Linked DNA regions of Struthio camelus. Each later gene encodes a partner of the first gene's protein in a complex. Links are inferred from orthologs where the notes say so. Each region holds a gene or a part of one and is shown on either strand. Other genes may lie near its edges.

Region 1 (11,604 bases):
AGAACAAGGAGTTAAAACTATTCACTCTTCCCCTCCTCCAAAAAAGTTAACTTGTCATTTCAGCTCCCTGGGCCATCTCATCAGTTAGATCGATTTGAATGCTTTGTTAAATTGCACTCTTAACACTACAAAGCAGGCTACACTGGTCTACCTTATAAAAGACTAATGTAAAACCACCAAAGTACCAAGAGGAGCAAAGGCCAGCTTCTTCGGAGCCCTCCGGAGGCTCTGATGCTTCCAGAACCTGTTTGGTCTGAGCCTTCATCTTCCAGTTAAGATCATTACAGATAATTTAATCATCTAACAAATCTGTGTTGAACTAACACTTTCAGCAGTGGATCAAGAACTCCTCTACATTCATGCTCCCTTGCTCACCTTGCACTGAAACTGGTGAGTCTGCTCTGGCTAATCAGAACAGTCCAGGAAGGAGGTGGTGAAAGATTTCATCCCGAACACCAGAGTGCCTGTAGCGCGGTGCTGCAGCACCAACCAGGCAGAGTCGTTGAAACAAGAAAACACACGCCCAGCAACCCTGCTTCGGACTTGTTCCGTTCTAGGTTTCCTGCTTTCCTCGCCTTTTGGCTCACTGCCTTACGAATCAGATTTGCATGGTCACCAAATCTTTAAAAATGAACACTAACACCTACCTTTACAAAGTAGATCCTCCAAGTACTTTATTAACTTTTTTTTTTTTTTAAAGGCATCTAGCTTCTGTATTAAAACAACTCCCCGAGGATTCTGATTGTTTGGCAAAGTATAAATCCCTGTACATGAAGGCTGGAGACTGAGAAACTAAAATATCACCAACTCAGAATTAGTCATAACAGAATTTCTAGCAACTACTTAATCACAGCTCTGTCCACCCACTATTACATCAAATGAAACTAGCAACATTTGACTGGAATTAAAACATGGCCTAGAGAAATCTGCAGTGTTTTAACCACTTAACAATAAGTGAAAATCTTATAAAAGACAGCAGTGAGTCCCTCGTTGTTTCCTGGTGCCATCCAGGAATTAATCTATTTATAAAACCACATACGTATCAATTTCTGAAACAAAATATGTCATCTCTTTCCTGGCCTTATTTACACTAATAAGTTTGAGGAAGTTTCCCACTGTGTTAGAGCTGCTGGGAGCAGCGTTACAGGACATGCAGTAAAAATGCTGTCAGACAACCTGCCATCCTAAAGGCTCTGGAGCTGCACAGATGGTTGAGAGGCTCCTGCTACCCCACAGCTGAAAACCACTTGTGAGAACTGAGCTCCAACTCGCAACCACAGAAACGGATGCCAGCTGAAGAACTTGCTTTTTTAATTCCCTAAATGTTGATATCAGCAAACAGGTGGCAGCCTTCACAGAAAGCTTTGATGTGTCCATTCTTTCTTTCTCTGATCCACATGAACTAGCACCCTGGCAAACACTGCGTACAGCCCGGGTCTTCACTCAGACTTTAAACAGTGGACGAGACTTCTTCAGCACGCTCATCAGATCAAAGGTTAAGTAAGTATTTTTGCTATGGTGGTTTTAGTTATACACTACTCTTCAAGATAAACCATTTTACTCACTGTGACACTCCTCTCCCAAATACACTATTCAGTATCTACAGTACTATGTCTTCTATCTTGGACAGCATAGTAAGAGTTGCTTCCAAATTTCAAGTCACTGCACTCTCTACAGACTGCACTGGAGAGATCTCAAGTGTTCAGCATCTTACACAAATACTGCACTGCACTCAACAAAAAGCCAATTATCCTCCCCCTCTTCTTGAGGGGCTATCAAATCAAATATAGCATGGCTTTAGCAAACAAGGCCACAAATTAGGTAAAATTTCAAACAGGGACCATTTCTGGGGCATCTAGTTATCATTTCTGCAACATGCAAGACTTCCCCTAACATGACAAGGCATCCCCTGAGATGCCATACCACTGAACAGCTGCTTTTTTAAAGTTAGCAGCTTTTGCTTCCATTCTAAAAATAACTTACACCAATGTTTTTTCTTAAGTCTCAATCAACAGCAATTCTTGTAGAGTTATTCAAGTGGAGGGCTGTTCAGATGTCCTGCACACTCTTACTTGTCTGTATCAAGAAGCCAAAGCAACAGTTGCCATCTATTTTTCCCCAAACAATTCTCACAGTGAGGAAGCAAACCAGGGCAAAATAGGATAGCACAACTAGCACATATGCCATGCTTTGAGCCAAACTACATGTCTAAACTGATACTGGTCAAAGCCCTGGAAAACAAACATGAGATACTTATCAGAAACAGCCTGCCCATTTACAATTTCAAAAAATTGTCACACAGGTACTTCTATAGCCTTGTTTATTTTGTTCCTAGCAGATCTTTGTAAAACAGTACCTGAGTTTTACATTATGTAAGCAATCGTTAACTTGTATTGTTTTCCAGAAACACTAAAGCTTTAGCCTTATCTAAGCCAAACATTACACCTTTTCTAGAATACTGGTAAAGCTTGAACTTCTGAAGCAGCAGAACAGGGAAGCAAATGATTGAATATAAAAAGCTCAATGGAAGACCATAAAAAGTTACCAAAAACAAGCAATGATATCTCAGTAGCATCTTGAAAGAGATTTGTTTCTAACTGAGAAAGAAGGAAAGCAAGTTAGAATGACTGCATTTTATTCACACATATGTATAAAACTCAGGTAGAATTACACCATTTTCATTACCAAGACAAAGAGCAATAAGTTTGGAAGCGGGGTGGTATTTACAAAGCAAATGATGAGTAAAACTGTTTTATTGAATGAATTACTGTACATCATATAGTTTTTCTATGCTGAGTTCTCAAATCTATTAGAGGAAGTAGATAAACTTTTTCCCCACCCAAGCATGATGCATTGCATTTATTTACATCATTCAGTCACAGACAATGTTGTTCACTTGAATGAAAAAAAATCTGAGATGACAGGAAAATAAAATAGTTAAAAAACAGTGTAACCAAAATAACATAGCTATATCGTGTATCAATGAATGACATTACTATAGAAAGTCTTCATTTGTCAGGATTTCACTGTCACATCCTCATTGCTCAGCATCTTACAAAGAAAAGTCAAAACATTTTTTTTAGGCTGAATATATTTATCTTTCAATCACAGTAAGCTATCTTTTTAGGGAGTCTATATCTTCGAAGCCAAGTAACTTAAAGATTAAGCCACCATGTGAAATTACACAGGCAGTGGCAAGACCATTTAGCTACACTTACATTTCACTGTCATCTACACAAGTTTGCTGTGATACCAATTATGCTCAGACTACACTGGGATTTTTGTTTCTACTAAAGAAAAAAAAAAACTCTCAAACTGCATAAGACTAGTCTTGTTTTCCAGCTGGCCTATGATGCTCCCCTGAGCTCTGACATCCAGCAAGAAAAAGAATGCCTCTGAGCTGATGGGGATAGCTTGGTGGAGAACATTCACAAGCAGCAAACACACAAACTCCTTCTCCACCACAATTTCAGCGTTCTTTAGATCCAAACCCAGCAGCTAAACGCAGACTTAATCTGATTGTAAAAAGCATTCTCAGGTTGTTTCGGTTGTAAGTAATACCATATCAGAACACCATAGGTGTAACAGAGCCTTACAGACAAGTATTTTTGTACTGCAATCGCTTTATCTGTCTCCTTCACAGAGGAACCGTACAGGCCTAGGTGTAAGCGTGCAAAACACAAGTCTCTGCCCACCAGCATTTACGACCCGCGTCGAGCTTAGCGCGTTTCCCCCAGCCCTACTACAAGAACGCGATGTCAAAAACCAAGCTACAAGCAGCAACAAGAGAAACTTTTCCCGGAGTTACTTTCAGTAAAGGCGTTTCAAACCAGCACCAGATTTCCCCTGTCACTAAGGGCATCGTAAAACGATTGGTAACGCGCTAGGGCTACCCCGGTGCGCCTGAGACCTCGGAGAGCGGCCGGAGGAGGACGCGGAGCCGGGCGAGGCGGCCGGCCCGCACCGAGGCGCGCCTAGGGCGGCCGCTTCTGCCCGCACGAGCCGGGCGGCTCACCCGCCGCCCGCGCACCTTCTCCCGGGCGGGCTCGGGTGCGGAGCCGGCGCTGCAGGCCCCCCGCGCTTGTTACGCCCCCGCGGAAGCCTCCCTCTCCCCCTCCTCGGCAGCCACCATTCGCTGCCCGCCCGCCCCGCCGGGCCCCGCGCTCCCGCCCCCGCCCCCAGCAGGAAGCCGCCGCCCGCCCCCTCAGCGCGGACGCCCACACGGGCCCGGGCAGCCCCCGCGCCCTGCGCAGCGGTTGGGCCGCGCCCCAGCCCCGCAGCCAGACCGGACCGGACCGGACCGGACCGGGCCGCCGCCCCCACCCCACCCCACCCCACCCCACCCCACTCCACCCACCTCCCCTCAGGCCGCCGAGCCGCGCGGCGCCTCGCACTCACCCGTCGCCCACCACCACACACTTGATGGCCTGCATCGGGGTTGCGCCGCCGCGGGGGCTGCTCGGGCCGGGGCCGCGCGAGAAGGGAGCCGGCGGCGGTCTGCGCACCGGGTCGCGGCCGCCTCCGCGCTGTGCCTGGCAGCGGGGGACGAGGCAGCGGCCACCACCCAAGGCGGCGAGAGGGGCGGGCTGCAGTGGAACAGGAAACCGCTCCAGTCACATCCGGCTCGGCCCCGCCGCTCCGTCTCCCGGGCCCCAACTCGGCGAGGCCCCGCCCGCCCCCGGAGCCGCTTCGTGCCTCTCCGGCCAGGCGGCGGCGCCGCTTCGGAGCGCTTCGGCAGCGCTCGGGTGTTTCCGCCGCACCGCCCGGGCTTCGGAGTGCTTCGGCAGCGCTCGGGTGTTTCCGCCGCACCGCCCCGGCTTCGGAGTGCTTCGGCAGCACTCGGGTGTTTCCGCCGCGTCGCGCCCTGGGGGCTTGGGCAGGGCTCGGCTGCGCCGTGCGTGTGCTGCCGACCCAGTGCGGGAGCGCGGAGCCGCCTGGCCCGCCGCCGCGGGAGCGCGCAGGCCCCCAGGGTCATCCTTTTGGGTTCTTTTAATCAGAAATGTGGTGTGATGCGCTGGCTCTGCTGAGCGCAGCCCAGCCGTCAGGCGTCGCGGTGCGGCGGCCGGGCCCGGCGGAGGCGCGCAGGCCGCAGCAGGGCGGCCATGTCGCGGCGGCAGCCCGCCGGGGCGCATCGGCCTGGCGCTGTCGCCGGCGCCGTCACGTCGGGGCGAAGCGCTCTCGAACCCAGAGCTGGCTCCCGGCACCCCTTTGGGGTGCTGCGGCTCGGTCCTGACCCAGCCTGGCGCAATCCGAGCGCCCACGTGGCGCCTCGCGCCTCGCGAGGCCTGCGAAGGTGGGATGGCGTTTGCCCCTGCAGACCGTGTGAGGGACATTATGTCTTTCCTTGACACAATGCGCCAAAGTACAGGTTTGCCGTGCGGATGTAACTCCGTGAGGTTCCCGGCGTGCGGCTGTGGGCCGCTCCCGGTGTTGGCCAGCCGGCCGTGGGCGGTGGGACTGCGCGTCACACCGCGAGCCAGCGCAGGGCTGTCAGGACGTTCTCGTCCTCAAGGGAGCCCTGTGCCGCCCTCCTCCTCCTCACGTGCTACAGCCTTCATGAACTCTGCCGGCAAGTTTTAGAGCAGGCCGGCACAGGCAGTCTGCGCGAGAGGGGCGGTGAGGGCTCACGGAGAGACGTGCCCGCCGCCACGGCCCGCTGCGACCTCCCCCGAGCGCTGCCCGGGAGGTCGCTGCCGTTGGGCTTGTGGCACCGCGCACGTCTCCAAGTTACTTCTTCCATGGTCTTCCAGCCACAGCTTGCCACCCCACACAACGTGGCACAACACCGAGAGATGTGACGCGCGGTGATATGTGTATTTCTGCTTAGTTATTCTTAACGGTTTTGAACTCCAAAGGTGTTAAGAAAAATAAAGATTAGCACCACAGTATTTTCTATTATTTTGGCTTGTATTTTATGAACCAGCTTTGCAGGGTCAAAGCAAGAGGCATATAAATTATAAATATATCCACCCAGGAATAATATTAGTGTTAACACTTATTCATTTCTGGGATGCTTTAGATTTCATTGCTTTGGAGCTCTCTTTTCCACAAGAAAACAGATATTTTTATGAATTACTGAAGTGACAGGCGTGCTCTAGCATGTAAGTAAATACTTATGTACTGGAACACATAGGTTAATAGAATAATTTAAAAGTCAAGCAGAGCAGGTCCAATGATCTCCGGAGTTATTTCATTTCTTCCATTTGTTCTCGCGGTGATTCTGCTCGCAGAGAAGCTTCTCATTGGACTGCTCTTCTCTTTGTCTACATTGCCAGCCATTCCTCAAAGAAAGCGTGAGGAAAAGGCCCATACACATGCTGCCTCTGCCAGGGGCTGATGAATCCAGTGAAATCAGTATAAAGGACTATACCACCCTGGAAGTTTTTCCAGTGATTTGATCTCATACTACTTCCTGAACATTTCTAAGCAAATATGATAACAGTACAGTGCAACCTCACTGGTGGACAGGGCATTCCATGATACTTACTCTTTTTGTTCTTTTGCTGAGCAAAGAAAATTCTCATATATTTCACTTCAGTCAGGAAAACATCATAAAGATCACTGTAACCTGAAAAGCTCTTGCAACACTTTTTTTTGGAACACTTGCATGTCCCTATCCCCTCATACAGATGGAAGTTGAAATGGCTGTTGTCATTTAAGCTAAATATCCTTAAAACCAACACTCTGCTGCTAGCGATGACCTGGCAACCGTTCCCTACCCAGCAGCCGGGAGCTGCGGGAGAGAGGTGTGGGCAGTATCACAGTGCTCTTGCTGTTCTTGGCTGCTGCAACGCTTTTGGAGCTTCTGAGATGCTGCATAGAAACAGAGCAGACATGAAGCCTGTCTAATTTATGCCATGGGCCTGGGGAGACACAGAACACAGGAAGATTCAAGGGACACGTAAAACTACTTTCAATTTTCCCACCACCTACATATTCTTCTGCAGGTTCTTACATTATCCAGTGTTATCAGACGGATTATGGGGTTTTTTAATGTGAAAAAGAGATACAACAAAATTTACAATATTAAAACATGCAGTATTCTTCTGTGGTTTATACTTCATAAATAATAATAACTACAACACGTTTTTGCGATGTTCAACTTTGGCTTTGATTTTGCCTTTAGTTAAATGGTAATTTAACTGTATTTTTTGCTGCGGTTATAGAAACCGACTGTCATTTAAAAATACAAAATGACTTTAACAGCATAAAAATACTGTAATGGAGAAAAGGTTATGATGGAAAAAAACATTTACGTTAGCACAAATTGTTTTCACGATCCTGTCATGAGACAAGCAATATCTTTTTACGTATGTTCTTTTCAGTGCTCCTCCATCTGATTCTTTTGGGATCAATTGTTTTGCATTGATAAAAAATAACTTAGAACACAATATGCTTTGATTATTTTAATTGAGTATATAAAGACTAACATTATAAAATATCTACATAAATATTCACTGTTAGTCACTAAAAACAATACTACAAATTTGATATATGATGATGATAACTGTAATAGATGCACCCAGTTTTGTTTCCATGTGTTTGCAAATCTTTTGGAATAGTTCAAAACTTTGCATTTGGAATCCTAGCTGATACCTTTGTTAAGGTAACTATTCTTAGATGCTCTGCAAGACAAACTGGTAGTTGTGTGTACTTTGAGTATATTATGCATTAATTATTTGTTTGTTAATTAATTTTAGTATAGTTCAGCTTCTTCTTTTTTATACTACTTCTTTTTTGCTAACTATTATGTAGTATACTTGGTTTTAAAGAGAAACAAATAACTTAGATGGTGCTACAAATGTGTAACGCTCTGCAGACATGTTTTTTTCCCTGAGACTGCAAGAAGAAATGGTCACAGGGAACACGTAAAACATTAAGTTTGTCAGAAGATAAGGAACTTAGAGAATAGTTTGAAAGGCAGGGCAAAGGAGTGAGCAGTTAAAGCCAAACAATTTCATAGAGAAATAGCTGGTTGATAGATGTGATTGCACTGCTGAGTAGTGTACAGAATACAGTTAAAAATGCAGTGCAGAGAGGAGTATGTAAAAAGAAAACATGAATGGTAGTAACTGTAAGCAACCTTTGCATAATTCTGATAAGGTCATGAATCATAAACTTGAGGCTTAGATCAGTCCTAATTTTGATCTATAATCTATCACCCTACCTTCACTTATCTATTGCAATTTTTGATATTTTTTTTTCTTAGACATTGAGAGGAAATAATTATTTAATATTGTCTCAGATACTGCCTGCATGTGAGTATTGTGTATGTGCTGGCACTGAAGGAGGTTATGTTCCTTTTTGGGTGGGGAGTGGCAGGATAATCACACTGATGCAATACTGGAAAGTTTTACTCACCATGACATAGACTATCAGGATTACAGAGACAATAATAATTCGCAATTTTATAGCATCTCCCAGCCCAAACTATTACTGTATTCTTTCACGTGTTAGCTAATAAAGCCACCCACAAATCACTGAGATGTAGAGATACAAAGTAGTATGCCTGTTGTACATAGGGGGAAACATATCAGTGAAAAAAAAAACAGAACACCTAAGCGTGATTCAGAGATCTGTTCTCTTAATCTCAGATGACACTTCCTGCTGCCAGCAGCGCTGTTCAATTGCTTTCAGCAAACAGTGTGTTACAGTATCTAAGTCGAAAGCAAAAGCCTATCTTTGTTGATAGTGTAAAAACTGTTTTGGGGTGAAAAGCTGTAATCATAGTTCACAGCTACTTGAAATTAAGGATTGGGCTGAAGAAATGCAGGAGCAAATTTTGCACAAACCAAAGGTGAATCATGAATCATGTCAGAGGGCAGAATAAAGTTTATAGCCTATGTACTCTTAAACCTTCGGATATTCGTAATAAAAATAGAAGCAGACAACAAAACTTAGAAGTATTTCTCTTATTGGAGAAGAACAGGATTTCCAAATGCTTTTTCATCCTATGATAGCTAGAAGAATTGTCTTACTTAAAAAATGTACTTGCGACTTGATGTTATGCTCATTTGAGTTGGTGGTAAAAGGCACATGATTACTAATGTAATACCGGGGCTATAGTAATTGGTGGAAAGAAACATGCAAGCACAGCACTGAGCACCAGAAATTCCTTCCTGGATTCCAGGTCCCTCTGTGACATCATGTGCCGTTGTGGCCTGTCAGTCACTGAGCCCCCCAGCTTCCTCATGTTTTAATCAGCATAATACTCATTCACTTTGTTTTGATAGTAGTTAACACTTACGGGTCTGCACGTAATACAGTCTGCTGGAGTTCTGCAGTTTTGTAAACTGCATATCTTTGAATTCTTTAGTTATGTATTTTAGTCAAACTAATAGCGCTCTTGGTTTGATTTAGCAAAGTGACGCTATCTCTCATTGTGGAGGAAATTCAGAGTATCTTCACTGAAGTTGGGGAGTTAGAGTGACAAAAAAATCATGTTAGAAAAGAATATAATGCACAAACAATGGTCTACAACTTTAGATATTCTAGGCAGACGTTTTCGGCATGGTTAGTTTCCAGAATCTTTGAAAAAAGACCTGTACCAGCATGTGATATGTGCACTGTTCAAATATAGTACGCAGTCTGCTCTAGAGGAACCAAAGCCAACAGTAAAAAAGGAACCACAACTTTTAAATGTCAGCATGTGCTGCATTAGAGAGAAGAGATTAAAGGAATATGCAAATAAAATGCTAGCATAAAAATGTCTAAATTAGCAATGAAGCATTGTAAAATAAATGCATCACATTCATGTGATGTTAGCATAGATGGTTTAGCTGGTATACATACATACACAAAAGAAACAAGTCATTGATTTTCTTTGGGTAGCTTCTGATAAACATCTATTCTGTGAAGAATGTCAGTTATAACAACCACATAAAACTTTGCATTCATTTGTGTCTGCCTGTCCTCAGGTTTAGCCAGCAGTAACTAACTGACAGAGTGCTTACTGTAGAGAGCTGGTGTTGAAGACAGTGGGACTATACAGTATTCACTGTATATGGCTGTAAGCTTTTTGGAATAGGGACATTTTGATATATTTGTAAACAAGGAACTGAAACTTCTCTGTGTTACTTCTCTTTTTTATCACTGTAATTCTCTCAGTAGAAATAAGGGAATAAGCCTTTTGCCAGCTGTAAGCATCTCATCATGTCCTGAGGTGACAGACTGCCGAAGCGCAGAGACGTGTAAGGAACAGATTCCCCTCAGCTTTTACCTATCTTGAGTCCAGCGTTTCACAGAAGTGGGCTTTAAAATGCTAAAGGGAAGGATAAAGAAAGGTTTAACTATTACATAAGCCCATTCAGTATTGCTGGTTTTACTGCCTTCCACTGGCCGATCATTTTTCAACGTAGTTATGTGAATAAAGACCCAAGGCTACACACTTGGACCTGGCAACCTGATTTGTTTTGAAATATTGAGTAGGTTTTGGACTTGCTTATGGACTTAACAGAACCAGGACCTGAAATGGACCGAGTCTTCTGTGGTCAGTTTGACGGGGGATAGGTGGAGCGATGGGAAGCCTAGTTCCCTCTTTCCCAGCTATAACTTGTGTACCAGCTAACAACCTCTCTTGAACTGGAAGGCAAGACAACAAACAGACATAGCTTCAAAAACCACATTAGATCAAACCCAGAAATTAAATTCAATGATTGCTCATGTAACATGATGAGGATTCAGAACATAAATGTACATTTATTACAGAAATAAGACAACTGTCAAAAAGTGATTATATATTCTGGAATCTATTCCTCCTTGGAAGTGCTTGTAGAAAATTAAGAAGAACTTATGAGAGAAATAAATAGCACAAATAACAATAAACTAGCTTAACTTAGCGTAAGCAGAATACAGAGCTTATATGAACAACTTCATTTTTTTAAATTATTTTATGCTGATAAGCTGCTACGTAACTATTTCTGATAAGATGAATACTTAAAAAAAGAAGCTATTTGATTTATTCTCCAGTTCCTAAATATAAAGATTATAAAACCGTTCTCTTTGCAAAACAGTGGTGACATGCAGTTTAATGATGACATAGGTTAATCACCTTCTTTATATTTTACCAAGAGATGCAATTCGGTGACTAGTATTTTAGCTTACTTTCGGCAGCTAGATATTCTGATTTAAATGATAGACTCTGCTTTTATTAAGCTGATGAAAAATATCTCTTCAAATGTGATCTTGCATCTTGTTAATATTGAATATGTTGAAGTATTAACACTATTGAGGGCAAGCTTTATACAACACTAAATGCGCTATAATACAATAGCTTCTGCAAGAGTTGTTCATATTATCAGTAGCTTAAAATGTATCTAACTATAACTTGACAGCACTGTGTTGCTAGAAACCACATCTGTGTTTTACACTTCATTTTCTGAAAGATTTTGGAGAGAGGGACAATAAGGCCCCTGAAGGATGCCTGGGATTCCAAGACAGACCGCTCTTGGGGAAGGAAAATACAATGTCAGCAGACAGGCTGCCATAGCTGGTGACAAGTTTCCTTCAGTCCTAAAAAAAAACTGCTCACAAAAAGGTGTTTGTTAAGAGACATCTTTACTCTAGTTTTGTTTTGTTTTTCTTAACTTTCAGTCCAAAAGAGTA
Region 2 (11,888 bases), on another chromosome or scaffold:
ATGCGAGTCGGGGCCGAGCACACATGATGCAGGTCAGGGCTGTGCACATGCAACGCGGATCAGGGCTGTGCATACATGATACGGGTCGAGGCTGCTCACACGCGATGCAGGCTGGGGCTGTGCACACACCATGTGGGTCAGGGCTGCGCGCACACGACGCAGGTCACCGCGGAGGGGACGCGCCACGGTCCGGGCCGTGGCCAGAGGTCACCAGCCTCAGCCGGCCAAGCAGAGGGGTTTTGGGGGGGGGGGGGCAGAGCCGCCCTATGAGCCCGATCTCCGGGTTGGGGTGTCCCGCAGGAGAGAAGCCCTACGCCTGCCCCCACTGCAGCCGGGCCTTCGCCGACCGCTCCAACCTGCGCGCCCACCTCCAGACCCACTCCGACGTCAAGAAGTACCAGTGCCGCGCCTGCTCCAAGACCTTCTCCCGCATGTCGCTGCTGGCCCGGCACGAGGACGGCGGGTGCTGTGCCGCGTCCTGAGCCGCCGCCGCACGCCTGCCCGCACCGTGCCCCGAGGAGGGACGCGGGAGCAGCCGGACGGGGGCCCCGCGGGTCCGAGCCGGCCGCCGAAGCCCCGCGGCTGCCTCCCCGCCGCTGGCCGGCCGCGGCACCGTCTTGGCTGCGGAGCTTCGTGCCGGGCCGGGCTGGAGGACGCAGCGCCCGAGCCCCTTGCCGCCCGCGCTGCCGGCTGCGAGGTCTCCGGGGCCGCCGCCGGCGCCGCCTCGGCTTCCTAGACGTTGAATTGCAGAAGTAATTAAAAGCGGAGCCGAACGCTGTGGACCTGAGCCCAGAGACGGTCCCTTATTGCCCGGCGCTGGGAGCATCCCCGGGGCTGAGATCCTCGTGCCCTGCCAGCCCCGGCGGGCTGAGCCGGCGCTCGACGGCTCGGCCCGGCTCGGCTGGGCATCTCGGGGGGCCCGGGGGCATTGCCGGCTCTGGAGAGACGGTCCGGCTTGGCCAAGGGCGGCGGGGACGCCGGGGGACCGTGCCCCGCGCCGGCAGCAGCGCCAGCGCCCCACCGGCGCACCCTCCGGTTGCCTTTCGGTGGCAAGCGGGGTGCCAACCCCGGTGCTGCCGCCGGTCCTAAAAATAGCAGCAGGGGATATTGGGTTTTTGCTGAGCGCGGGATGTAACCCGAGCGGCCCGCGGGCCGGTGAGCGGCTCGGCCCCGGCCCCCGCTCGCTCGCTTGCCCCCGCCGCCGCCACCGCCTGCCCCGGCTTTCCTCGCTGGGCGGCCGGGGACGGCCACCGAGCGGGACGAGCTCCCGCGGCCGGGAGCCCCGCGGCGGCGCGCACGCCGCATCCCGGCTAAGCTGCTCCCCCCCCACCACGTCACCTCCACCGGCCCGGCCGAAAGCGCCCGGGAGCGCGGCGCTAATAGCGATGTTTGGGGCAGCGCCGGTGGTTGGTTTGGGGGGGGGGGGCTTCTCGGCCGGCTTATAAATAGCGGCAGATGCCGAAAGGAAGCTGTATTGTAAACTCGGCTCTATTTGCGGCTCTGCCCGGCTAAATGCGGCTTCGCACCTGTCCCGGGCGGCCGGGGGGAAAGAATCCGCAGCGCCAAAATAGCCCGCGTGTTTTCCCCTCGCCTCCCGCCCATGGAAAAAGCCTATAAATATCCCGGGGTGGTGGTGGGTTGGGGTGGGGGGGGGACGCGGAGGGGCCGGGCACGGTGCCCCGCGCCCCCGGCAAGCGCCGCTGCCCGGCGCGGCTCCGGCGGAGGTTCCCGCGCCGCGGTGCCCCCGGGGCTATTTTGGGCGGCGCGGGGGGCTCTGTGGGTCGCCGGGGGCCAGGCGTGCGCGTCCCCCCCCTCCCCAGCACGACGAGCTGCGGAATATTTTCCGCTGCGAGTGACCGGTGCATAAAAATACGCCGGGGCGCGTGCCCTGGGCGGCCGGCGGCCGCGGCCCCGCGCGGGGTGTCCCCGGGCTGGGGGAAGCCCTGGAGCGTGGGCACGGGGCACTGGGGACAATGGGAGCACTGGGGGCACTGGGAACACTGGGGGCACTGGGGAAAGTCGGGGCACTGGGGGCACTGGGAACACTGGGGGCACTGGGGAAAGTGGGGGCACTGCGGGCAATGGGGGCACTGAGGGCAATAGGGGCAATGGGGAAAGTGGGGGCACTGGGAACACTGGGAGCACTGGGGAAAGTGGGGGCACTGGGAACACTGGGGGCACTGGGGACAATGGGGACAATGGGGGCAAGGGGAAAAGTGGGGGCACTGGGAACACTGGGAGCACTGGGGAAAGTGGGGGCACTAGGGGCACTGGGGGCACTGAGGGCACTGAGGGCAATGGGGGCAAGGGGAAAAGTGGGGGCACTGGGAACACTGGGGGCACTGGGGAAAGTGAGGGCACTAGGGGCAATGGAGGCACTGGGGGCAATGGGGGCACTGGGGGCAAGGGGAGAGGTGGGGGCACTGGGAGCACTGGGGGAACTGGGGGCAATGGGGGCACTGGGGGAAGTGGGGGCACTGGGAACACTGGGCGCAGTGGGTACTGGGAGCATTGGGAACAGTGGGAGCACTGGGGGCAGTAGGTAGTGGGAGCAATGGAGGCATTGGGGGATACTGGGGGCAGTGGATACTGGGAGCACTGGGGGCACCGGGTATTGGGATCACAGGGGGTACTGAGCCCTGGGAGGGCTGGGGGAACTGGAGGCCATAGGGGAACCCTGGGCACTGGGAGCACTGGGAGCACTGGGATTGGCTCACGCCCCCCCACCCCCCACGGTGTCACGGCGGGCAGGGGCGGCGCATGCGCAGTGCCGCGCTCCGGGCACGGACATGGCGCCGCGCGCGCCCCGCGGCCTCGCTCCCCCTCCGCCTTGCGCGCGGCCCAAAGCCCTCCGGCGGGGGAAACCGGGGCGGCCCTGACGTTCCGGGCGGGGGACTGCGGGGCGTGGCCAGCGCCCGTGGTCCGATCGAGGCTATTGGGCGCCCGGGGCCGGCCGCGGTGGCGCCAGCCAATGGGGTGACGGCAGCTCGCTACAGTGTTGCGCGGCGCCGGCACGTGGGTGGTCCGAGGCCGGGAGCGGGGCTGGCCCGGCCCGATCCTGCCCCGTCGGTGCGGGGGTGCTGGGGCTGCTCGGGGGCCGGGTCTTGCTTGGGGGCCAAGCCGAGCGCTTGCCCGGGGCTTTGCACCCAGCCTGGGTTGGTGCTGCCGGGGCTCGGGTCGTGTCCCCGAGCTGAGTGCGTGGCCGGGGACGGGTCGCCACCATGTCCGAGGACAAGGCTCTCACCATGGTCACCTGCACGGCCCCTGTCAACATAGCTGTCATCAAGTACTGTGAGTACCCGAGCGTCCCGCCCCCCGGCGCGGACCCCTCCTTGCCCCGGGGGCCGGGGCAGAGCTGCCTGCAGGGCCCCGAGCACGGCGGGGCTCAGCACCGGGGCGAGCACGGGGGCTGCCCCTCGCTGTGGGGCGATGCAGAAACCGCAGCGGGTTGTGTCATCCCAGAAGGGCCCCCGGGACCCGTCGGTCCCCTGGGCTGTCCCCAGGGCTGTGACTCTCCAGGGTTTCCCCCTCCCCTAAATCCCTGGGGAACCCCCCCCCCCCGAGCTGGGACCCCTGAGGAGGTGGGCACGTCCATGGGGCGGCTGCCTGGATGGGCTCGAGGACGGCAGGAGCAAAGCCCTTGCCGGTGGGCTCCCATCGCTCCCCTGCAGCGGGCTCCAGCGAGCCCCAAAGGCGCCGGCTTGCGCCAGCCTTCACCGAGGAGGGCGAGAGGCCGTGCCGTGCCGTGCCGTGCCAGCCCCGTGGCAGCCGGTTCGGCCCGGAGCGGGAGGGCACGAGCAGCACGGGCTGGCACCAGGCCCCCACGCGCACCCCACCCGCGCGTCTCTTGCAGGGGGCAAGCGGGACAGCGACCTGATCCTGCCCATCAACTCCTCGCTGAGCGTGACGCTGCACCAGGACCAGGTTGGCACGGCGAGGTGGGGGGCCTGGCTCAGAGCAGGGGTCCTTCTTGGCGGGCAGAAGCCGGGTGCAGGAGCTCACACGGCACCAGGGACGTGGCGCTCGCAGGGAACGGGGGCTCGTTTGCTGCCGGGGCCGGGGGCGGCTGGCTGGGCGGTCGGACTCGCCGCGCCGTGGCCCAGCCTGACAGCCTTTGGCGCTGCCCGGAGCTGCGGGAAGGTGTGGGATTTTGGCGTTCAGCCCCCGTTTTGCCTGCCTCTCCTGGCCTTTCTGCCTTCCCCGCCTCATCCTTGGGTGCGCGACGCCGCCCTGCGGCCGGGCGACTCTGGGTTTGCAGGACGGGCCGCTGGCGCCCTTGGGGGGCTGCGGGCTGCCCCAGCCCCTCCCTGCGCCTGCTCAGCGTCCTTTGCCCCCCGGCCAGCTGAAGACCACCACCACCGCTGCCATCAGCCGGGACTTCAAGGAGGACCGGCTGTGGCTGAACGGGGAGGAGGCTGACGTGGGGCACCCCCGGCTGCAGTCCTGCCTGCGGGAAGGTGAGTGCCCTCCCGTGCCTCGGTTTCCCCAGGGAAAGGGGGCAGACCCTGCCCCGTGAGCAGGCTGGGAGGGGAGAGCGACGGTGCCCAGGCGCGGCACCGTACAAACCTGCCTCGCCGTCCCCGTCCCTCCCCGTTCCCGAGGCCTAAACCCCCCCCCCACGACGACTTCTGTGCCATCTCAGTGCGGCGCCTGGCCCGGAAGCGCCGTGGCGGTGACACCGCCGAGGACACGGCCCCGCTCAGCCTGGCCTACAAGATCCACATCGCCACGGCGAACGACTTCCCCACGGCAGCCGGCCTGGCGTCGTCGGCAGCCGGCTACGCCTGCCTGGGTGAGCGCGCGCCGGCGCCGGGGTGCGGGTCGGGTCGGGCCGGGCCGGGCCGGCAGGCGGCCCCGGGGCGCTGGGGCTGACGCGCGGCCGTGCCCGCAGTGTACGCCCTGGCTCAGCTGTACGGCGTGGAGGGCGAGCTCTCGGAGGTGGCACGCCAGGGCTCGGGCAGCGCCTGCCGCAGCATGTTCGGGGGCTTCGTGCAGTGGCACAAGGGCGAGCGGCCGGACGGGAAGGACAGCGTGGCGCAGCAAGTGGCACCCGAGACGCACTGGCCGGAGCTCAGGATCCTCGTGCTGGTGGTGAGGGGCTGGGGAGGCGGGCTGTCCCCGTGCCCACCTTCGCGGGGCTCGTCGTGGTTTGGAGAGAGGGTGCTGAGAACACCCCAGCCCCGGCCCCCGGGGTGCCTGCTCCCCCTGCAGACCCTGCGCGAGGCTGGGGGCAGCCGCCAGCGCGGTGCCGGGGTCTGGGATCCCCGTGGTGGGGATTGGGGCTGGGGGCTCAGGGTGCCGCGTGTCCCACCGCCTGCCCCCCATGCGCCAGGTCAGCGCGGAGAAGAAGCAGGTGGGCAGCACCGCGGGGATGCAGACCAGCGTGGACACCAGCCCCTTGCTCAAGGTAGGGGGCCGGGATGCCAGGGCCCGTCCTGCCCCCCGGGGCAGCTCCCTGCATCCCGGTCCTGTGGTGGGTTGGGGTCACGTCTCCCTTGGGTGGTATTTTTAATTCTTGCTGGGGGGCTGGCGTGGATGGAGGGCACTGCCCTGGGCAGAGGGGGGGCCGTGGGGCTCAGCGTGGCGCCTCGGCCTCGGCAGTGCCCTTGGATCCAACCCTGGGAGGGAGCAGGGTGCAACCCGCTGCCGTGGCCCTAGTGCAGCCGAGGGGGCGATGGGCTGAGAACAGCCCCGAAACCGGGGACGGGGGGCGGCGGCTGGCGCCACGGCTGACCCCGGCCCGCGTGTCGCCGCAGCACCGCGCGGAGGCCCTGGTGCCGGAGCGCATCGCCCGCATGGCACAGCACATCCGCGAGCGGGACTTCGAGGCCTTCGGCCAGCTCACCATGCGGGACAGCAACCAGTTCCACGCCACCTGCCTCGACACCTTCCCCCCCATCTTCTACCTCGACGACGTCTCGCGCCGCCTCATCGCCCTGGCCCACCGCTACAACGCCCACCACGGCCGCACCAAGGTAGGAGGTGGCCGGCACGGGCCGGCGCCAGGGCTCCCCCCCGCCCCGTGGCGCTGGTGCCCACCCTCCCGCCCCTTGCAGGTGGCCTACACTTTTGACGCCGGCCCCAACGCTGTGATCTTCACGCTGGCCGACACCGTGGCGGAGTTCGTGGAGGTGGTGAAACGCAGCTTCCCTCCGGCGCCCAACGGGGACCAGTAAGTGCTGTCGGGGCTCCCGGTGAGGCTGGGGGAGAGCTGGGGTCCCAGGGGCTGGGGGCTGCGAGCCCTGCCCGCCGTGGGTCACCCCGGGGCCCCCGTGCTGGGGGACGGGTGCTGCGGCGTGGGGCTGAGCGCTCGGCCGTGCCGGCAGGTTCCTGCAAGGGCTGCCGGTGGGCTCGGCCTCGCCGGCGGAGGAGCTGCTCACGGCCGTGGTCCAGGAGCCGGTGCCGGGGGCCCTTCGGTACATCCTGCACACCAAGGTACGCGGGGGGCCGGGTAGGCCAGGGGGCCCCGTCCCCATCCCCAGGGGTGGTCCCGCAGTGCCGGCCCAGGCTGGGCTGCCGAACGGGGTGGCCTTTTTGGGGACAGGATTCCCAGGTGCCGTCCCCGGGGCTGGCTGTCCCACGGCCTGGAGCGGGGATCCCCGGCGGGAACAGCCCCGGCTCCCCACTAACACCTCTCCTTGCCCCCAGCCCGGCCCCGGACCCCAGCTCCTGGACGACCCCAGCCAGCACCTCCTGGGGGCCGACGGGCTGCCCCGAGGCAGCGCCTGAGCCCCCCGCCGTGGGGCCGCGTTCGTGGTGACGCCGCGCCGGATGGCCGCGCCGGACGGCAGTTTGGGGGGGTCCGGCCGTGCCCATAGCCCCTCCAGGGAGACGGGGCAAGGACGGAGCTTGGCCGCGCGCTGCCCCTTGGGCTTGGTGCCCTGTGACCTGCTGCAAAGCCCCCTCCCCCGGGGCAGGATGTGCCCCCCCCCCCCCCGGGCCTGGTTTTTACTCTTTTGTGAACAAATAGAGGTTTTTCCCATCTGCAGCCGTGTTTCGGGGTGTACTGGTGCGGTCGCGGGAGAGCCGAGGGGGCCGTGGGGCTGCCCCGTCCCCCCCCCCCCGGCGCGTTCCTCCACTGCCCCGTGGGGGGGCGGGGCCGGGGGCGGGGCGTCGCGGAGGGGGCGGGGCGGGGCAGCCGCTCGGCTACATTGTAGCGCGCCGCTTCCGCCGCGGCCGAGCCGAGCCGAGCGGGGCCAGGCCGGGCCGAACCGGGCCGAACCGGGCCATGGGGCAGATCGAGTGGGCCATGTGGGCTAACGAGCAGGCGCTGGCGGCCGGGCTCAGTGAGTGTGCGGGGCGGGGGGGGGCCGGGGCCAGGCCCGGGTTGCCCGGCGTGGGGAGGGGGCTCCGGGGCTCCCTGCCGGCCCCGGCCCTCGCCGGGGGCGTGAGCGCTTGGGCCCTTGCTCCGCTGGAGCCTCCAGCGGCTGCTGACGGCTTGAGGAAGCCCCCAGCCCTCCCGCCCGTGGGGTCGCCGGGCTGGAGCCTCTCTCTTTCCCCTCCAGCCCGTTGCGCTCAGTTGTCGTAACTGAACCCCGTGGAGAAGTCAGTCGCCCTGGGTGGGCCTTGGGGGTGGAAGGCGCTGAGGAAGCGCAGGGGCCGCCAAGCCGCGTCCCTCCGAGCCGCCTTCGCCCTCTGCTTGGGGGACGAGTCACCGCCTGGGAGCCCGACGGGCAGGAGGGCGGCGGGATGGGGCGGCCTTGGCACGGGGAGCGTCGCCGCCTTCGCTCCGTGCTCCCTGGCCCAGGCGGGCGGCTTCCTCCTTGCCGCGGGGGCCGAGCTGCCGGCGTCACCCAGCCCAGGAAACGGGCACCCTGCTCCGTCTGGGTCTCGGGGTGCATCTGTCGTCCGCCAGCCCTCGTCCTTCGGCTGCGTCGGGCAGCCGGGCGAGCGGGGTAGGGCACGGCCTCGTGGCCGAGGGGAAGCTGTCAGTATGCGAAAGCGGGGACGTGCGGGGCCTGCCTGCCTCCGCGCTGGCCCCGCGGCGCCAGTGCTGCTCCCTTGGCGCCGGCCGTGGCGTGACCAAGGGGTGCTGGGTCCCATGAGGCTGGCGGGGTTTTCCAGGGCGGTGCAAGCAGGAGGTGTGATGCTGCCCAGGACGGCCTGGGAAAGTCCCATCCAGCCTGGGGATTAGCAGGACTAGAGCCTCCTCTTCCTCCTCTTTCCGGGCGTCCTGTCTGTACAAGGCAGCTGGGAGTGGAGCAAAGCTCATGGGCGGAGGTGTGCAGTCGCCGGGGAAAAAAAAAAACCTCTCCCCAGAGTCCTGCAATTCCCCTCGCTCAAACCAGAGGGGGTCCGGCATGGCAGAGGTCCCCGGGGCAGGGCCCTGCTGGGCCACAGGACGTAGCCTGCCTGGCTGACCCTGCTGTGTCCCCGCAGTTATGTTGACCGGAGGGATCGTGGCCGTGGCAGGGCAGTTCAAGGGCTGGTATTTCGCGGCGTACGCCATGTATCCTTCCGGAGGTGATGCTGAGGACCGGCCGGGCTGTTTGCAGGGGAGCCAGACAGGGATGAGTTGCTGGAGCATAGCAAGTAGCCTTTACTTTCACTTTCTTTTCCCAAGTTCCTCTTCTTTACAAGTTTCTTTTCCAAAATCACCATTTTCTTGTCCCAAATGGCTCTTTTCCTGCAGGTCCTGAAAGTGCATCATGACCTTCACGTTTCTGCAAAACTTCCCTGGGAGGCTGGGGGTGCTGGCCCCATTACCTGGGGATGATGAGGGTGGGGGTGGGGGGTGCTGGTCCACTCTCTGCTGCCCCTGCATGGCTTTGTCCCTGTGTCACGCACCCTGCTCCAGCCCTCCCCCCCCACCCCGCTTTTTCCAGTGATGGTGATGCCCCTAATCGTGGCCTGCAGACCCTGAGCATCCCTTTCCTTGACGCTGCCCCCACCTCAGCGCAGCAGGCGTCTTCGTCTGCCTACTCGAATACCCCAGGAGCAAGCGGAAAAAGGGCTCCACCATGGAGAGATGGTAGGTGCTGCCCCCCTGGCACTGGGAATTTGGGGTCCTGGTAAAAGGCCCCCACAGCATCAGAGGGTGCACGGTCAGGAGAGGGGCATGGAGATGGCTGGGAACAGCTTCTTCCAGGCTTTCTGACCTGGGCAATTTGCTGACATGAGCAGGGCCAGATCCTGCAGGCAGGTTTCCTGGGGTGCTGGTATCAATGGGGGGTGCAGGAGGGCAGCTATGAGGGAGCATGGGGATGGGTCAATGCGAGAGGGAGGTCCTGGGAGGGGGTCTCTCAGCGCTGAGTGCCGGCCTGACCCCTCTGTGTCACTCTATCTTCCCGTACAGTGGCCAGAAGTACATGACGGCTGTGGTGAAGGTGTTCGGGCCCCTCACAAGGAATTACTACATCCGGGCCATCCTACACGCCGCGTAAGTGGGCCGAGGGGTCTGTGTGGGCCCCGGGCTGCGGGTGCAGCCCCCGCCTCCCCGACCGGCCAGCCGGCCGTGCGGTGCCCCGCTGAGCGCCGTCTCTCCCCATGCAGGCTGGCCGTCCCCGCCGGCTTCCTCCTCTCCACCATCCTGGGCACCGTCTGCCTGGGCATTGCGAGCGGCATCTACTTGCTGGTGAGTGCTGGGCTGGTGGTGGCTGGCCAGCATCCTCTGTCCGTCTGTCCATCCATCCCGGCCAGCATCCTCTGTCCGTCCTGGCCTGTCCCCCACTTGCTTTTCCTGGCTGAGTCTTGGGGTGGGGAGGGGATGCACAGCGTGGCGGTTGGGGCAGAAGCCCCCCCCCCGGCAGGATGCCTGGGTCCCGCTGAGCTCTGTGCCACCCACTTGGCTGTCCGGGCTTTGCGCTGAGGAGTCATTTTTGGTGGGGGGGGGGGAGGGCAGTTCTATGCTGAGAGCTGTTCTGGGGGGCTGGCCGTGGGCGAGGGGCTGGGTGGGGGCACGTGCTCCCCTCCTCACAGCCTCGGTGGCTTTGCAGGCGGCGGTGCGTGGTGAGGAGTGGAGGCCCATCGAGCAGAAGCCCCGGGAGCGGCCGCACGTGGGTGACACCATCAAGCAGCCACCCACCAACCCGCCGCCCCGGCCCCCCGCCGACGCACGCAAGAAGCCGCCGGCGGAAGCAGGAGGCCAGGTGAACCCCATCGCCGTCGAGGCCGAGTGAGGCCAGGCCGTCCCGCCGCGCTGGCTGCGCTGCTCGTGCACCGCTTCCCCCCTGCGCCCCTGGGGGACGCCAGGCTGCCCGGCCCCTGCGGGACCCCCCCCAATCTCTGGGGGTGCCCAGCTCCCCTGGGGGGCACGCAGCCCTGTAGGGGCTGCGGGGAGCACGCAGCTCTGCTCGCTGCGCTGCCTCTCCCCTTTTTTTATCGCCTCCTTTTGTGGTTGCTGTTGCAATAAAACGAATGAACTTCCCCCCCCTGCTCCCCGCCGCTGCGCCTAGCTCAGCTCTGCTGGGGGTTGTAGGGCACGAGGGTGCCAGTGCTCAGTGCGACTGCTGGTAGGGGAGGGGACTCCACAGGGTTATATCTCTGGGCACAGGGGTTCCCTTAACAGAAAGCACTGGGCTCAAATTGTGGGTCCCGGGGCAGAACCCTGCAAAATAATCTCCCTGCGTCATCCCAGCGTTGCAATTACGTAGTAGGGACAGACCCTTACCGGGCTGCAGCGGAACGGGGGCGCGAGGCTGGGGGGGGCAACTGTTGATAGCGGGCTCGGGGCGAATTTTCATGACAAATGGCATGGTTATGGGCATGTCCTCTATAGTGGCCATTCCCTCAGCTCGGGCAGTGACTGCTGCACCACGGCCCCCTCCCCGCCCTGACCCCGTAACCTGGTGCTGGCCCAAAGGCTCCCGGCCCGGCTGCTGCAGCGCCGTGTCCCTCGCGCTGCTGTCACCGAACGCTGGCAGGCAGCGCCGCTGGGGCGTAAGGCGAATTGCGCTACAGCCTAATTGTGGCTTTCAAACATGATGCCAACTGCCCCGGCTTGGCACCACGTTACCGAAGTTTGAGGGGCCCGTGCTGTGCTACCCGGCCAGCGCTTGCCCCGAGCTCTGCGTGCCCTCCCCTCCGCCCAGCGCGTCCTTGAAACCGAGTGGGGGACGCAGCACCCAGCGGGTGCCCTCCACCATGCCCCCCCCCCCAGCCCTGCCATGGGCTCCCTGCAGCACGGGGGCACCGATGGCCCCCGCCACCCCACCGGGGACAAGTGCCAGACCTGTGCCACCATCCTGGCAGGGAAAGGGGCCATTTCTCCACGTGCCACACTCCCGTGCACAGAAGGGGTCTGGGTGCCTGTGTGTGACCCGAGGGGACAAGGCACAGCCTCGTCCTTAGCCCTGCTTGGTGGTGACAACCTCATTTCTAGCCAAATCCCTGATCCTGCTAGGTGGCAGTGGCTGCTCCGGGGAGCCCCTTTGCAGCATCCCAGGCCGGGCCGGTGGTGGGGCGCCCATGGGTGCTGCCGGGGGAGCGGTGCAGGACCGATCCCGGCAGGTGGCGCTGGGCCCATGGGACGTGGGTGCCTGGTGTTTTGGGGGAGCTGTGGGAAAACTGTGGGTGGCAGGGTGCTGTGGGCGCCCCGGGGCTGGCAGCAGGGCTGGGCCCCACTTGGGTGCTGGGGGGGGGCAGGTTTCCTCCCCCCCCAACCCAAAATGGGTCCCATCCCCTTCCCCTGCCCAAAACAGCCCCCAGGGACACAGCAGGCAACACACAGGTGGTGGTTGGGGGGGGATCAGGCTTTATTGGGAGGCTGTGCCATGCCTGCATGGAGCCAGAGCATCACCGCAGCCTTCGCGGGCACGGCCGGGGCACAATAAATAGCGTTACGGGGCAATAAATACACAGTGAGCACCCAGGGAGGGGGCCGGGCCGGGCCGGGCCACGGGCGCCTGACGGGACGCCGGACCTGGCACTGGAGCCGCAGCGCTTGCAGG

The links.
Region 2: RAC1 (region 1) and CYBA share a complex: the UniProt entries of both Homo sapiens proteins name them as parts of the phagocyte NADPH oxidase complex. The link is inferred for Struthio camelus from reciprocal best matches to the Homo sapiens genes RAC1 and CYBA.

Annotation. Positions count from the first base shown.
Region 1 is NC_090956.1:9,197,452-9,209,055, reverse strand, and holds the start of RAC1 (ras-related C3 botulinum toxin substrate 1), read right to left. Parts: upstream 4,822-11,604; 5' UTR 4,434-4,821; coding exon 4,399-4,433; intron 1-4,398. UniProt on the Homo sapiens protein: Plasma membrane-associated small GTPase which cycles between active GTP-bound and inactive GDP-bound states.
Region 2 is NC_090951.1:2,453,987-2,465,874, forward strand, and holds CYBA (cytochrome b-245 light chain), read left to right. Parts: upstream 1-7,106; 5' UTR 7,107-7,228; coding exon 7,229-7,286; intron 7,287-7,557; exon of another isoform or gene 7,558-8,210; coding exon of another isoform or gene 8,211-8,220; intron 8,221-8,379; coding exon 8,380-8,449; intron 8,450-8,896; coding exon 8,897-8,971; intron 8,972-9,295; coding exon 9,296-9,379; intron 9,380-9,492; coding exon 9,493-9,574; intron 9,575-9,935; coding exon 9,936-10,118; 3' UTR 10,119-10,366; downstream 10,367-11,888. Other genes in the region: zinc finger protein SNAI3, read left to right, coding at 301-482; MVD (diphosphomevalonate decarboxylase), read left to right, coding at 3,222-3,291, 3,854-3,924, 4,343-4,457, 4,643-4,792, 4,892-5,091, 5,333-5,407, 5,757-5,975, 6,057-6,172 and 2 more. UniProt on the Homo sapiens protein: Subunit of NADPH oxidase complexes that is required for the NADPH oxidase activity that generates, in various cell types, superoxide from molecular oxygen utilizing NADPH as an electron donor.